Linked DNA regions of Arabidopsis thaliana. The protein of the gene in region 2 interacts with the protein of the main gene of each other region in a pairwise test. Each region holds a gene or a part of one and is shown on either strand. Other genes may lie near its edges.

Evidence for each region.
Region 1: the proteins of AT2G41120 (region 2) and ETR2 interact in a two-hybrid assay, tested with the Arabidopsis thaliana proteins (one study listed by BioGRID).

Annotation. Positions count from the first base shown.
Region 1 is NC_003074.8:8,252,238-8,260,136, forward strand, and holds ETR2 (Signal transduction histidine kinase, hybrid-type, ethylene sensor), read left to right. Parts: upstream 1-2,321; 5' UTR 2,322-2,787; intron 2,788-2,884; 5' UTR 2,885-2,918; coding exon 2,919-4,685; coding exon of another isoform or gene 4,686-4,733; exon of another isoform or gene 4,734-4,768; coding exon 4,769-5,323; 3' UTR 5,324-5,651; downstream 5,652-7,899. Other genes in the region: AT3G23145 (ATP binding / aminoacyl-tRNA ligase/ nucleotide binding protein), read left to right, coding at 122-220, 404-589, 716-779, 895-959; AT3G23160 (plant/protein (DUF668)), read right to left, coding at 7,822-7,899. UniProt on the Arabidopsis thaliana protein: Ethylene receptor related to bacterial two-component regulators. Acts as a redundant negative regulator of ethylene signaling.
Region 2 is NC_003071.7:17,140,775-17,148,112, forward strand, and holds AT2G41120 (DUF309 domain protein), read right to left. Parts: upstream 1,712-7,338; 5' UTR 1,646-1,711; coding exon 1,256-1,645; intron 1,170-1,255; coding exon 1,022-1,169; intron 928-1,021; coding exon 680-927; 3' UTR 501-679; downstream 1-500. Other genes in the region: CAM2 (calmodulin 2), read left to right, coding at 45-418; AT2G41130 (basic helix-loop-helix (bHLH) DNA-binding superfamily protein), read left to right, coding at 2,586-2,879, 3,445-3,912.

The DNA of each region.
Region 1 (7,899 bases), on a different chromosome or scaffold from region 2:
AACATTCTGTTGTTGCATTTTTTTTTTTTTTTTTGTGTTAAATATATATATTTTTTTTGCATATTTATTGTTGCATATTGTGTTGCATATTTAGTAATGGTTACATTCCCTGTTATCGGAGATCCAAGATAATACGGCTCTTGTGGCATGGACTACTACTCCATGGATTCTTCCAAGTAATCTTGCTTTGTGTGTCAATGCAAAGTTTGTCTATCTTAAGGTTCGTCAACAACACTGGAAAAGTCTACATTGTTGCTGAATCTCGGTTGTCATCGCTTCCTAGTGATAAGCCTAAGGCCGGCTTAACTAATGGAACTTACTAGTGATACCATAATGCGAAAGGTGCTAATTAAGCTTGACAGTGAAGAGGATTCTTATCAAGTTTTGGAAAATTTTAATGGAGATTCCTTGGTTGGGAAGAAGTATGAACCTTTGTTTGATTACTTTTAGCGATTTCTCAAGTGTGACTTTTCGACTAGTAGCAGATGATTATGTCATGAATGATAGTGGTACTGGTATTGTCCATTGTGCTCCTGTCTTTGGTGCAGATGACTATCGTGTTTGTCTTGAGAACGAGATAATTAAGAAGGTTAGATTTGACAACATCTTCCTTATATCACCACCTTTAACATTAAGTTTATTTTCTTTCTTGTTTAAGTTTACAGTATCTTCAAGAACCCATGTTCATGACACATTTTGTTCATGTGTTGTTTAGATTGTCAGAGATTTCAAACGTCCAGATGGTTTGAAAGATACAGAGATTGATGCAGCTGTAGATAGTACATATCTTAATTAAAAATACCACTTCTCTATGCTCTATTGTTGAGGAAACATATAATATTTGCATTCGTTCATGGTTCAGATATGATGTTATGGTAATTCTTGATCTACGAGAAGATGAATCTTTGAAAAACGAAGGTGTTGCCCGTGAGGTAAATAAATGTAACCGAAGCGATTAATGGTCATATATAAGTTGTATATTTGATATATGGGTTTCCTTCTCATTGTGCTCATGCATTGAAAAGCACCCTGTTATGACTGTGGTTCTAGGAGAACATTTGCATTTGACAGTCGGTGACTAATTGTTAAGCAAGAAGAACGCATGAGAGCCTTTTAAAGTGTTTTCTTCTAGATCGTTGCAAAAAGTTAAATGTCTCTTGAGACTTTGTACTCATTCTATAGATAAAGATGGGATTTATTACAAAAACAACAAGAAACTTTGTTACTTGTGGAAATTCAAAATTATCCGAACTAGCTTCACAAAATATGCTCAAGAGTTTCAATGTATTTTTTTTTGTTCTGTAATTGTATGACTCCGTTTGAAGCATCAAGATTATGGTTATAGGTAGTGATGCTAAAACTCTCTGTTGTTACAGTGACCACTAAAAACACCAACAAAAAAAACTTAGGTAACGTGTCGTCTAAAAACTTCTAGGTTCAATTTCTTTAGATAGTACTATCAATAAATAAAATAAATATGTACAAAGGCTTTAAACAATGATGTTTTTCAAAGATGATTGGTAGATACTAATTAGAGCTTCAATATAAAAGAACACATGCGATTCTGACATTCTGTGGTCTAACATGGTTTCTTCTAGAGTCAAAACCATACAATTAAAAGTTAGGAAAGTAATAGCAATGTGGTTTCAAATATATACTCATTACTCTTTAGATTCATGTATGGTGAAGGAAACATTATAATAAAATCAAAGATCACAGTTTTGTAGGTCCCTCATATTAATCAACATCTTAAGGCGTTATACATATCTTCTTTTTGTAAATATTTGACTAATTAAAATATCTAATTAGAGTATTAGACTAATCTCATCAAATATCCGACTACTTGTGTCAGTTCAAAACACAGTGATTACGTTAGATTTTGTGCTCTTTTGTTTATAAACAAAGCTAATTTAAGAAATATATGATCTATTTGCCTCCTTGGTCTTAATTTTATACTTTCTTGGAATAAAACACATTTATTAAAATAATTTTTAGGTTCCTAGATTCATGTCATGTGGCTTGATAGTTTCCAACAATTATACCAATATTTTACTCATTCATATACAAATAAACAAGCTTTATTCTATTCTTCAGTCTCATGATATACGGGATTTTGATAAAATTCAGAGTACCCATTAATTATTCTATGTTACAGCTTGTAATAAGTTAAATTTATAAAACGTACAAGTTGAGGAAATAACAAATGTTTTCAATATTAAATGATTTATTAATACATTAGTGACCAAAAAATTATTAAGTGTAAGAAAAAAAACACAACTCAGAAAAAATTCAAAAGACCGTCTAAGTTCGGTTCATGTAAGAACAAGTGGGACCTCTTTAAGTTTCTAAATCAGAGAATAAAGAAGAAGAAAAAATCTCAAAACCTTCCTCTAAAACCAACGGCTCCTACCTTTACTTACACCCTATACATACACTTCTCTTTTTATCCTCCATCGGCGGCTTATGGCGGTTTTCCGGCACTAATCATCTCCGGCATATATAAATAAACGTACTTCACGTTTTTTTATATAACTTCAAAGTAGTTTCAGATTTGTCTCTATCTCTTCACTTTTAAGTCTTCTGGTTTTGTCATCACCAGCTTTTTTTGTTCTGTCTCTGTCTTTCTCTTTGTGTATTTTTATTCTCGTCATCGTTGTTCTTCTATGAGAGGAAGATCGGAATGTCGAAGAGAATTAGAAGATTCTCGTACATCACTTCGTTGGAATTTCACAGGTCGATGAGAGATCTGAGAACTGTTTCATTTTGATCCAAACTCATCTCTTTCAGGTATTCCAAATTTTTCTTTCTCTGTTCTTTCTACTATTACCCAAATTAAAGTTTTGATTTTTATTTCTCACTCTGTTTCTTGTTTTTCTAATTGCAGAGTATAATGGACTAAGCATTTTTTTTCTCCGAAGATGGTTAAAGAAATAGCTTCTTGGTTATTGATACTATCAATGGTGGTGTTTGTTTCTCCGGTTTTAGCTATAAACGGCGGTGGTTATCCACGATGTAACTGCGAAGACGAAGGAAACAGTTTCTGGAGTACAGAGAACATTCTAGAAACTCAAAGAGTAAGCGATTTCTTAATCGCAGTAGCTTATTTCTCAATCCCTATTGAGTTACTTTACTTCGTGAGTTGTTCCAATGTTCCATTCAAATGGGTTCTCTTTGAGTTTATCGCCTTCATTGTTCTTTGTGGTATGACTCATCTTCTTCATGGTTGGACTTACTCTGCTCATCCATTTAGATTAATGATGGCGTTTACTGTTTTCAAGATGTTGACTGCTTTAGTCTCTTGTGCTACTGCGATTACGCTTATTACTTTGATTCCTCTGCTTTTGAAAGTTAAAGTTAGAGAGTTTATGCTTAAGAAGAAAGCTCATGAGCTTGGTCGTGAAGTTGGTTTGATTTTGATTAAGAAAGAGACTGGCTTTCATGTTCGTATGCTTACTCAAGAGATTCGTAAGTCTTTGGATCGTCATACGATTCTTTATACTACTTTGGTTGAGCTTTCGAAGACTTTAGGGTTGCAGAATTGTGCGGTTTGGATGCCGAATGACGGTGGAACGGAGATGGATTTGACTCATGAGTTGAGAGGGAGAGGTGGTTATGGTGGTTGTTCTGTTTCTATGGAGGATTTGGATGTTGTTAGGATTAGGGAGAGTGATGAAGTGAATGTGTTGAGTGTTGACTCGTCCATTGCTCGAGCTAGTGGTGGTGGTGGGGATGTTAGTGAGATTGGTGCCGTGGCTGCTATTAGAATGCCGATGCTTCGTGTTTCGGATTTTAATGGAGAGCTAAGTTATGCGATACTTGTTTGTGTTTTACCGGGCGGGACGCCTCGGGATTGGACTTATCAGGAGATTGAGATTGTTAAAGTTGTGGCGGATCAAGTAACCGTTGCGTTAGATCATGCAGCGGTTCTTGAAGAGTCTCAGCTTATGAGGGAGAAGCTGGCGGAACAGAACAGGGCGTTGCAGATGGCGAAGAGAGACGCGTTGAGAGCGAGCCAAGCGAGGAATGCGTTTCAGAAAACGATGAGCGAAGGGATGAGGCGTCCTATGCATTCGATACTCGGTCTTTTGTCGATGATTCAGGACGAGAAGTTGAGTGACGAGCAGAAAATGATTGTTGATACGATGGTTAAAACAGGGAATGTTATGTCGAATTTGGTGGGGGACTCTATGGATGTGCCTGACGGTAGATTTGGTACGGAGATGAAACCATTTAGTCTGCATCGTACGATCCATGAAGCAGCTTGTATGGCGAGATGTTTGTGTCTATGCAATGGAATTAGGTTCTTGGTTGACGCGGAGAAGTCTCTACCTGATAATGTAGTAGGTGATGAAAGAAGGGTCTTTCAAGTGATACTTCATATAGTTGGTAGTTTAGTAAAGCCTAGAAAACGTCAAGAAGGATCTTCATTGATGTTTAAGGTTTTGAAAGAAAGAGGAAGCTTGGATAGGAGTGATCATAGATGGGCTGCTTGGAGATCACCGGCTTCTTCAGCAGATGGAGATGTGTATATAAGATTTGAAATGAATGTAGAGAATGATGATTCAAGTTCTCAATCATTTGCTTCTGTTTCCTCCAGAGATCAAGAAGTTGGTGATGTTAGATTCTCCGGCGGCTATGGGTTAGGACAAGATCTAAGCTTTGGTGTTTGTAAGAAAGTGGTGCAGGTGAGTTTCCTTACATATCTCTTTCTAAAGTTCCTGTCATTAGTCTGAGTTTCTGTTTAGGAGTTCTTTGATAATGTGTGCAGTTGATTCATGGGAATATCTCGGTGGTCCCTGGCTCGGATGGTTCACCGGAGACCATGTCGTTGCTCCTTCGGTTTCGACGTAGACCCTCCATATCTGTCCATGGATCCAGCGAGTCGCCAGCTCCTGACCACCACGCTCACCCACATTCGAATTCTCTGTTACGTGGCTTACAAGTTTTATTGGTAGACACCAACGATTCGAACCGGGCAGTTACACGTAAACTCTTAGAGAAACTCGGGTGCGATGTAACCGCGGTTTCCTCTGGATTCGATTGCCTTACCGCCATTGCTCCCGGCTCGTCCTCGCCTTCTACTTCGTTTCAAGTGGTGGTGCTTGATCTTCAAATGGCAGAGATGGACGGTTATGAAGTGGCCATGAGGATCAGGAGTCGATCTTGGCCGTTGATTGTGGCGACGACAGTGAGCTTGGATGAAGAAATGTGGGACAAGTGTGCACAGATTGGAATCAATGGAGTTGTGAGAAAGCCAGTGGTGTTAAGAGCTATGGAGAGTGAGCTCCGAAGAGTATTGTTGCAAGCTGACCAACTTCTCTAAGTTGTTATCTCAACTTCTCTTCTACATTCAAAATTTTTACACCATAGATTTATGTCAAATATATCAAAATGAAATTTCGAAATTGTTATTATATATACCACCCATATCTCTATGATTTGTACATCCTGTTTTTTTTTGTTCTTTTTCTCATTTTGAACCCCACGAAATTGCATTGAATCTTAGTATTTCGTAGGGTCAAGAAGGAGTCAGTTTCGTAGTTTTTTGTTTTCTTTATGTTACGAACTTACGAAACTGAATATGGCATTATAGAGTTTTGAAGATAAATTTTCTTCGTTACTACTCTACATCAAGTTAATTCTCTAGTAGGTATTAGAGCTCTCTTAAATTATCCTGGAACATGAAAAGTTGTAGATAATGTCGTCTGCCACTTTTGTAATAAACTTTTCAAACAAAAGAATCATTGAAAAAAATGTGTGACTTTATTAGTTGTTACCAGTAAAAATCAAAATATAGTAATTATTTGTTAGATTCATGCCCCCTGGACTAGAGAAGATTACATTAAACAAAACTGCACATTCCTCGAGCCTATTAAACTAAAAGAACTGCATAAAATAAAGTAGAAATGGATTGGATTTGCAGAAAGTGAATCTAGGGAAGAGATGGGTTTACGTAACTTGCAATTATATATTCAAACCCACTTGTGCTTATACATTTGTTTCTTCGAACCCGACAATCTTTGACAGATTAGTCTTAATTATTAGTTAAAGTACTAATTATTTGATAACTACAGTGAAAACAATCATGTCCAAATAGATAACCACTCTTCACTTTACACTTTCAAGAATCCAAATATTTCCCCCGGCTGCCTACAGTTATTGCGAGTAAAACAGTTTAGAGAAATAAAGAAGAAGAAAAAAGATTGATTTGTTACATTACATCATAAGTAAAATTATGTAAATAACTGATGTGCTAGTCTAAATCGCGTCTAAAATTTTCTTTTGTGTATAAATTAAGAATCTTAGGAAATTTGTGGTACTAGGAAGTTATTATTGTTAGTTATTTTTCATAAGTAACTAATTTCGAAAAACAATTATTCAGAAAATATATAGGCTTATTTAAGTTGATCAAAAATAATTGCTATTATGAAGCCGAAATGATAATGGCTTGAGCCACAAGATCAAGACCAAAGGGGTCGTTCCTAGTCAATATAGCTGACAAAATGATTTGCAAAGTCTTGAAATACCTTATCACCATCAACTCATAAATAGAAGATGTTCGATGTATTATTCATTCCAAAGTCGAACAATATACAAAAGGGACCGATGCATGTGTTAATCTTAATCATACCTCCTTTTTGTTTATACCCAAGAAAAAAAAAAGTATAATATGTGAACACATAACATAGAAGTTTTGCTTTCCCTCTATTTTTGGCTAAAACAGAAAGAAATTCATATCTCTTTTTTAGGTCTAGAAGAAAGAAAAAAAAAAACAAGAACACAAACGTAGATAGAGAATTCTACTCATATTATCCAAAATATAGTCAATTCGATCCAAACTTCTTGTTTGCTTGTGATCACGTCATTCACAAAAGATAAATTAGCTTTGTCTTAACATTATATGTTAGTCAAAGGAATTGAAGTATATCAACTACTGTTGTCTTCTAGTTTACTAGGAGGCCCTTGTTCAATTTTCCTAATTTTCTAAGTTAATTTCCACTAGAGAAATAGGAATATGAATACGAGTTATAAAGTTAATAAAACCAAAACTTTCTTGAATTAATAGTTCAGCAATTTGATGTATTTATATATTCAGCAAAACACATAGGAAGATCTAGCTAGAAATTCTGGAGCTTAGTCTAGATACAAAGACTATGCAGAGACCTTTACCAACGACTGATTTGATATAAAGAGAACTTTGGGCCAAAGGTTGATCTAGTTCTTAGTCAATATAAGGTTAGGCCCAAACCCCAAAAGCCTTGACCCAATATATTAACTTTCTTTTTCATTCTTACACACAACAATCAATAGCAACAATAAATGAAATTCTCATCGTTGACACACAAAAAAAGAAAATCTCAACCACAAAAATGTCAAGCTTGGTTCAAAAAACATCAATGCACTTTTTGCCCTACTCAATCTCTCTCTGATTAAATGCATTCATCACCTAACATCTCTCTCTCTTGTTGGGTTGGCTTTAATATATGTCTTTCAAAAAAGCTCATATTCTTCAATACACACACTTAACTTTGCCTAACTATGAGTTACCATCTCTAACATTGTCTAACTAAGATTGGAGTTATCATTGTTAAAGCTCATATTCTTCAATACACACTTAAAAAAACTCATATTCTTCAATACACACTTAACATTGTCTAACTAAGATTTGGAGTTATCTACAACAGAACTTCAATTTTCACAATCATTTTTTATGTATGCAAACAAAACTAGATATTTAGTATTCACAATGTGTTGAATCATAAACAAATGTATCTATAGAACAACACTAAGAAGAAGAAAGAAAGAAAAAAAAACCAATTGTTAGTCCAAGTAAGCTGCACGGCATTGGCTCTGCCACTCAAAACAATCTTCATAATCAAAGCTACTCGCGCAATCCAA
Region 2 (7,338 bases):
GGATTTGCATCGTAGTAACACCAATCTTTGATTACTTTGTGTAGGTTGCATTACCACAAAGGAGCTTGGTACCGTGATGCGTTCCCTCGGTCAAAACCCAACCGAAGCTGAGCTTCAGGACATGATCAACGAAGTTGATGCGGATGGTAACGGAACCATTGATTTCCCGGAGTTCTTGAACCTAATGGCTAGGAAAATGAAGGACACTGACTCTGAGGAAGAACTCAAGGAAGCTTTCAGAGTTTTCGACAAAGACCAGAACGGTTTCATCTCAGCTGCTGAATTGAGACATGTGATGACTAACCTCGGCGAGAAGCTTACTGATGAAGAAGTTGATGAGATGATTAAGGAAGCTGATGTTGATGGTGATGGTCAGATCAACTACGAAGAGTTTGTGAAGGTTATGATGGCTAAGTGAGGATTGAAACAACTTCTTCGGCTTTCTCCTTTTTTTTTTTTGACTACCTTCTTATGTAATTTCATAAAGAATGTTCCTTCGCTTTGTTCTAAAATTTCATTCATGGCTGGTTTTTGCTGGTTAAAAAGACAGGAATGTTATGTGTTTTTACCTTTTGTCTAAATGACTCATTGTTCATGTTATTGACAGGTTCAGAACCTGATTCTTGAAATATAACAGTAATGAGATCTTCTTCTATTATCTTCGTATTGATCATTCTCTTTAGAATCTGTCGTCGTATGTAGAAGCAAGAAGATGCTTATCGGTTGCGGTAAGGGTAGGGAGCTTAACCCGAGTTGGCTCAGACGATGAATGTAAAGGAGAGAAGAGTATAGAAGTTGTCTCAGACATTCCATTGTTGAAGTCAAGCACAGTCTCTAAGCTGTAAATACTCTCTCCAGCTGCATAACCACCTAAGAGTTGATACGATCTGTCTGATTGATCCATCGTCAAACACATATCTTCTGAACCTATCATCAATCAATTCAGATTTCTTGAGTGTCACAATTAGGTTCAATTTGCTAAATGGTTTCCTCAATCAAAAATTCAAAATTCAAAACTTACAGGCAGCAAGTTCAAGCTGAGTTTGATAAACGAATTCAAGAACTGCGGAGACATCTCGCTCGAATTCATGAAACGGTCCGTCTTCGAAATTCATCTTCCTTAGCTTACATACTCCTTCTCCTAACTCCATCATCGCTCCTTTATGGTTCTTCAAATCCCAAAACACTCACTAAAATTACCTCAAACGTGAACGAAAACGAGCAATAGATGGAGTTAAAAGGAGAGTAGATTTACGTTGTTGAATAGATGGTGAAATCCAACAGCACATTGAAGAATTCCATGGATTAAGGTACGAGTTGGTTCCTCTGCTTGAATCCAAAGAGCTTCAAGCGCGTCATGACTTTTGTAATAATCCCTCTTGTTGAAGAGAGTCACTGCTTCCTCAAAGCTCCAATATTCTTCCTTATCCTCGTCACTATCCTCTTCGTCTTCTCCGGCGTGGTCGTTGTATCTGACGATTGATCTTCGACTGAAACGGACGCGTATGGAGCTAAATTTTGTGGAGGCTCGAATCGTTGAAGCAGTAACAGAGATTGGAGAAGAAGGGATTAAGGAGCTGAAGAAAGAAGATGGAGGAAGCGTGAAAGATGAAGGAACCTGGAAATGTTTCGAAGAAACTGCCATTATCAAAGTCAAAGGTCGAGCTCTGTCTCTACTGCATGGTTCTGGCTTGCGCCAGTTTTGTGGTCACCGTTTTACCAAAACTTTGTAATTGGGCCACTATTTGGGTCCTTATTTTTTATATAATTTAGGCCCATATTTTATGGCGAAGCCTTCCTCATATCATATGGTTGTCTCATTCGTAAATTATTTTTCTGCAGTAGCTTTCTCTTATGATTATCAAATTTGTTGATTATTTAGGGCTTTTATGTTGTCAAAAAAAAAAAATTAGGGCTTTTGAATACTCAAGTTTTTCCAGACATTAAGTTAAAACAAATACTGTATATTATTTAATTTTTGTTAAATAACAAATTTATGTTATCGCATTGCACTGTGTGAGATTTATCCGGACAAAACACAATGATAGAAGCAGCATAAATCATATCAGGATATGCCTTTTATTGTTTATCTTTAATACCTTAGAAATGGTATCTTATCATAATAACTTAAAGGATCATTATTATGGTAGTGGTAAAACATCATTATTATTCATAAGTAAAGATTTAAAGAATGTTCAATTTTTTGAGATTTGTTTTTGAATTTTTGAATTTTGGAAATGCAGTAATATACTATATAGTCCCAAAAGTCCGTATGTATCTTCAGTTCAATTGATGGATCATATAGAACTATTTAGAATGATGATGGTGGCAAGACAATGACCTAATTAAGGACCCTTCCTAAAAATTTCAAACTCTATAGCAACTTTTTCCCCACCAATATATATATAAATACAAAAATCAAGTATTTAACATCTAAAATAAAAAAAATAAAAAAAATAATCTACACTCTCTACCCTCTCATTTCACGTATATATAATCCATCTTTTAGGACAGAACCCACCGAAAGCTCCACAAACCCCATTAATTAACAAAAAACCAAAAGAAGGCGGCGCAAACAAAAGATAATGCAACCAGAGACCTCAGATCAGATGTTGTACTCGTTTCTTGCCGGAAACGAAGTCGGCGGTGGAGGGTACTGCGTCTCCGGCGACTACATGACGACTATGCAGAGCTTATGTGGGTCTTCGTCGTCGACGTCATCGTATTACCCACTGGCGATCTCCGGCATCGGAGAAACGATGGCTCAAGACAGAGCTTTAGCTGCTTTGAGGAACCACAAAGAAGCTGAGAGAAGAAGGAGAGAGAGGATCAATTCTCATCTCAACAAGCTTCGTAACGTACTCTCTTGTAATTCTAAGGTAATATAAACTTTTGATACTTTTTCATTTGGCGTATGTATCTCTCCTCGTACATATGATGTTTATACATCTGTACGTATATATTTCTTTGAAATTTTAAGAAAAGATTTTTGAAATGGGTATATAATTAGGGTTTTGCATCTTCTCTAACCCAGAGTTTACATCTTTAAAATTTTCTCATGTTTCATTCGATTTGGTGTTAGCTCATGAATACTGTACTTTTTCATGATAACATTTTATAATCATTTGGTTTCAATTGAGTCTTTTTTGTCTTACTATTCTTACTTATTAACAAGCACATATTTATCAAAGATGATCCCTAATTTTCTACATTTATAATTCTAAAGATTGATATATATTTTGATTTGAATATTCAAAACTGGCGAGTAGTGATCAGATGAGAAAAACGAAAAGCTTCATGGCCTTTTTGTGAAGCTCGTTGGGATAGTATATCACTTTTTGGGAAAGTTCTCAAGCTTTTTCAGTTGATTTGATTTGATACAAACATCAAATTTCAACTTCTTGATCCAAACTTTTCATTGTAATTTCATGTTTCTATTTTCAGACCGATAAAGCCACACTGCTCGCCAAAGTAGTTCAACGAGTCAGAGAACTTAAACAGCAAACCCTAGAGACCTCCGACTCCGACCAAACATTATTACCATCAGAGACCGACGAAATTAGTGTTCTACACTTTGGAGACTATTCAAACGACGGTCATATAATCTTCAAAGCCTCTCTATGTTGTGAAGATAGATCAGATCTCTTGCCGGACCTTATGGAGATTCTCAAGTCTCTTAACATGAAGACTCTCCGAGCTGAGATGGTAACCATTGGTGGTCGGACAAGAAGTGTTCTTGTCGTAGCTGCTGACAAAGAGATGCACGGCGTCGAGTCTGTGCATTTTTTGCAAAATGCTCTCAAGTCGCTGCTTGAGCGGTCAAGCAAGTCGTTGATGGAACGTAGTTCTGGTGGTGGAGGAGGAGAACGGTCAAAGCGGCGTCGTGCGCTGGATCACATCATAATGGTGTGAAATGATGAGAATTGAGCACACTAAAAAGTCTATAATTGATTAATATATATAGGGTATGATCATAATTAACTTGGTTATAATTACCAAAACCTTTTTTATTCCTCTTTAATAATATATATGTTATATGGTTTTAGTTACTAAGTCTTGGGAGTGTAAGCAAATGTTGTAAGTAGGTTTGGTGTGTTCTTTTTCTTTTCTTTTTTTTTTCTTTTTCAAGAAAAAGAAAAAGATCTATATTATATATAAAGAATATTTGTCATGTTATTTTCCTCTATTTATATATATCTTTTTGGTTGTTGGTGTGATGACTAGGGTTTTGAGATTGTGGGAATATTTGTCGACGTAGAAGAATCTAAGTAACAGATGTGATTGGTGAAGTCCAAAAGAAACTAGGGTACTTCGATTTACATATACACACTATACATGTGAATATATATGTATATATAGTGAAGAGAAGGTCTATGTTTGTATGCTGTGAGTTTCAAAGCGACCCTTATGTCACCTTTGTCCCCAAATGAATCCAAACTCTCCTATCTCTTTCTTTGTTCATGTCTTTCTAAATGTGTACATTTGACCACATTTTTCAGACCAAAGAATATAAGCAGTGCCTGGTTTTCTTTCTTTCTTATATATTCGTATATATCCATGTGATTATGACGAACTGTTTTACTTTTAGTTGAGATTAATTAAGTGTTAGCGAAATGTCTAGTCTACTGTTTTTGTTGATCATATGGAAAAGACGTGCATTTATGCATGACACAAAAATGCTTAAACGTATATTCGAAAAAGTAACACTTTATATACGTTGTATATTTAGGACGCCAAATTTCATATTATGTACGGCTACATGTACAATGAAAGTGTGATGAGACTTGAGAGGATTAACCAAAAATACTGAAAACTTACTTTAATTTACTTTCTTTTAGTTTATTTTACTAATCGAATTTTGGCTCTAAAGTTTCGTGTGAATAAGAAGAATATGTTAGAATGTATAATGATGTGTATCCGTATCTAGTGAGGTTTGTACATATCTGTTATATTTATAATGAAAGTGTTTTGAAATATTGTAGAGATACTATGTTTGCTATGTATCTCTATTCTGGTTTCTTCAATAGGTATCCGTTTTGTTTATAGAAAATGGCTCACCAACTTGCCTCTATGGGAGGCTGGGGATATATGAACCAAATGACTCAATAATATAGCCAATTAGACCATTAGTAAATTGGAATATATATGAAGAAGAAGGTGAATGTGGGATTAAAGGAAGAGGAAGCGTGAGAAAAGGAGACTGACAAAAGGAAATAAAATTGATGGGCCATTGGCTCTATGAGACAAAAAGGACCGACTCTTCTCATCACTCTCCCTTTTCCCTTTCTCTCTTTTTTAATAATTGTTTTCTATAAACTATAATTTTATGGCGAATTTAATAAAATAATATTGAAGAAAACTAAGAGAAGAAGAAGAAGGAAAAAAAAAGGTGGAGAAAGTTTGTCCATGGAGCGTGATGGTTTTGGGGCAGCTGGTGTCCCCTCTATACTCAACCTCTCGACCAAAAAGTATATCTTATAGAAATATTTTTAGCTTTTGCACTATATATTATTGTTAAAGTTATATTTGTATTCAACTCAAAAGAAACTATAGAAAAACTTCTAATTTTTTTAAAAATTCCTTCTGAAGTTTATGGGTAGTGTGGCAAAAGCAATCATTAACCTCACACGTTAGTGTTCCATCGTGTGAACATGTGAGTGCCCTTTCTTATCTCACCACACAATTTTGACCATCCTATTTCCTTTTTGAATATCACTATTTTTTCTTTGTGTTTACTTTGTTTTATCTACATTTCACAAACAAGCAAATAGAAGTTATCATATTATATGTCAAATATGTGTTTGTTTTCATGTGTTCTTATTGTCTTTCTTGGTCAAGTGTTCTTGTTTACCTACACAGACAAATGTGGGAACCTTTTCACTTACTTCGGGGTTTTACCGGAAAGTTAGAAAACCTTACTAAATTATTGCTTTGCTATTAACAAAGATATCTTACTCATTCTTTAAACCAGTGTTTCATTTTGTCCATTGTCAGAACTTATATTCATTTTAACGTTTTAATTGATCTATCGTAGTAGTGAACCATCTCTAAAATAAAAATTCAATACTAATTGAAAATCTAAAACCAATAGATATTAAGAAATCATTTGTTAAATTAACTTACATCTATACATCTATATATGCGACTACTGTCTAGTTTATCTGGAATCCACAATATGTTTTTTGTTTCTCCAAAAACTTTTTGATAACTTTAAAAATCTAGTAAATGCAACATTTTCTAACCTTTTAAAGTATATTTGAGGGTTAAACCGAGAATTAAGACTTACAAGTCTTGGGATAATCACTCTATAAGAAACACTTTATTGTGGTTTGGTTCACTTTTAAACCTTACTAGATATTTTCTAAAAGTTAGTATACATAAAAGTTTACAAATTGTATCTATCTATAAAAAAAATTATTTTATAGTTTACAATTGTTATTAAGTAACGTCTTGCCAAACCCGTCCCGCCAACCCGTCCCGTAAAAAACTATTTATTTTATTAATATTGATCTTATTTATGATATGTTTATGAATTATTGTCTAAATATTTTGTAATTTTGTAGTAATTAAATGCTATCAAATATCTCTGCGGTTTGATGATTATAATCGAATTATTATAGTCATGGAGAAAAGCAATATCAAAAATAATAATTTTGTAATAATTAAATGATATTAAATATTTTGCAAGTTTTATTTTAGTAACTAATCGTGTAGTTAATGTTGAGAGATTTAGGGAAGATTGTTAAATGTCAAATATTTAATTATTCAAAGATTTTTTTTTCTAATTATCAAAAACAAACATTAAAATCTAGTGGCAGTTATTGTAAATAATTCCCAACTATAGGATTTATTTCACAAAATGGCTGCTATATAGATTTTTTAGATAAAACCGATCAAACTCTTTTTCTTTTCAATTATTAAACTCTTTGATGGGTTAAGAAACATAAAAACAAAAAGGAAAACAGAGGAGAAGAATCGAGGATCCAAAAGCCCATCTAAGGTGAGAGAAGAGGGGTCCAAACTGAGATTGGAACAAAATCGGTTTTAGGGTTTCAGAAAGGCCCAAATTAGATTCGAGTAGAGCAGTCCCACAGTGACTCCGACATGACAACACTTGAGTTACACAAGACCACCACGTCTCTATACTCTAAGTCTATGCCGTACGTCAAAGGCACCAACTCTTTCATCACATATATTATTAATCAATTTATACAAAACTCCAAATAATTCACGGGACCAATACTGAATCGAAACTAAACGAATTTGTTAAAATCGGACTTTGTAGATGCAACCGAAACAGAGTAAGTACATGAAAATACGTACAACTGCATGTGATTT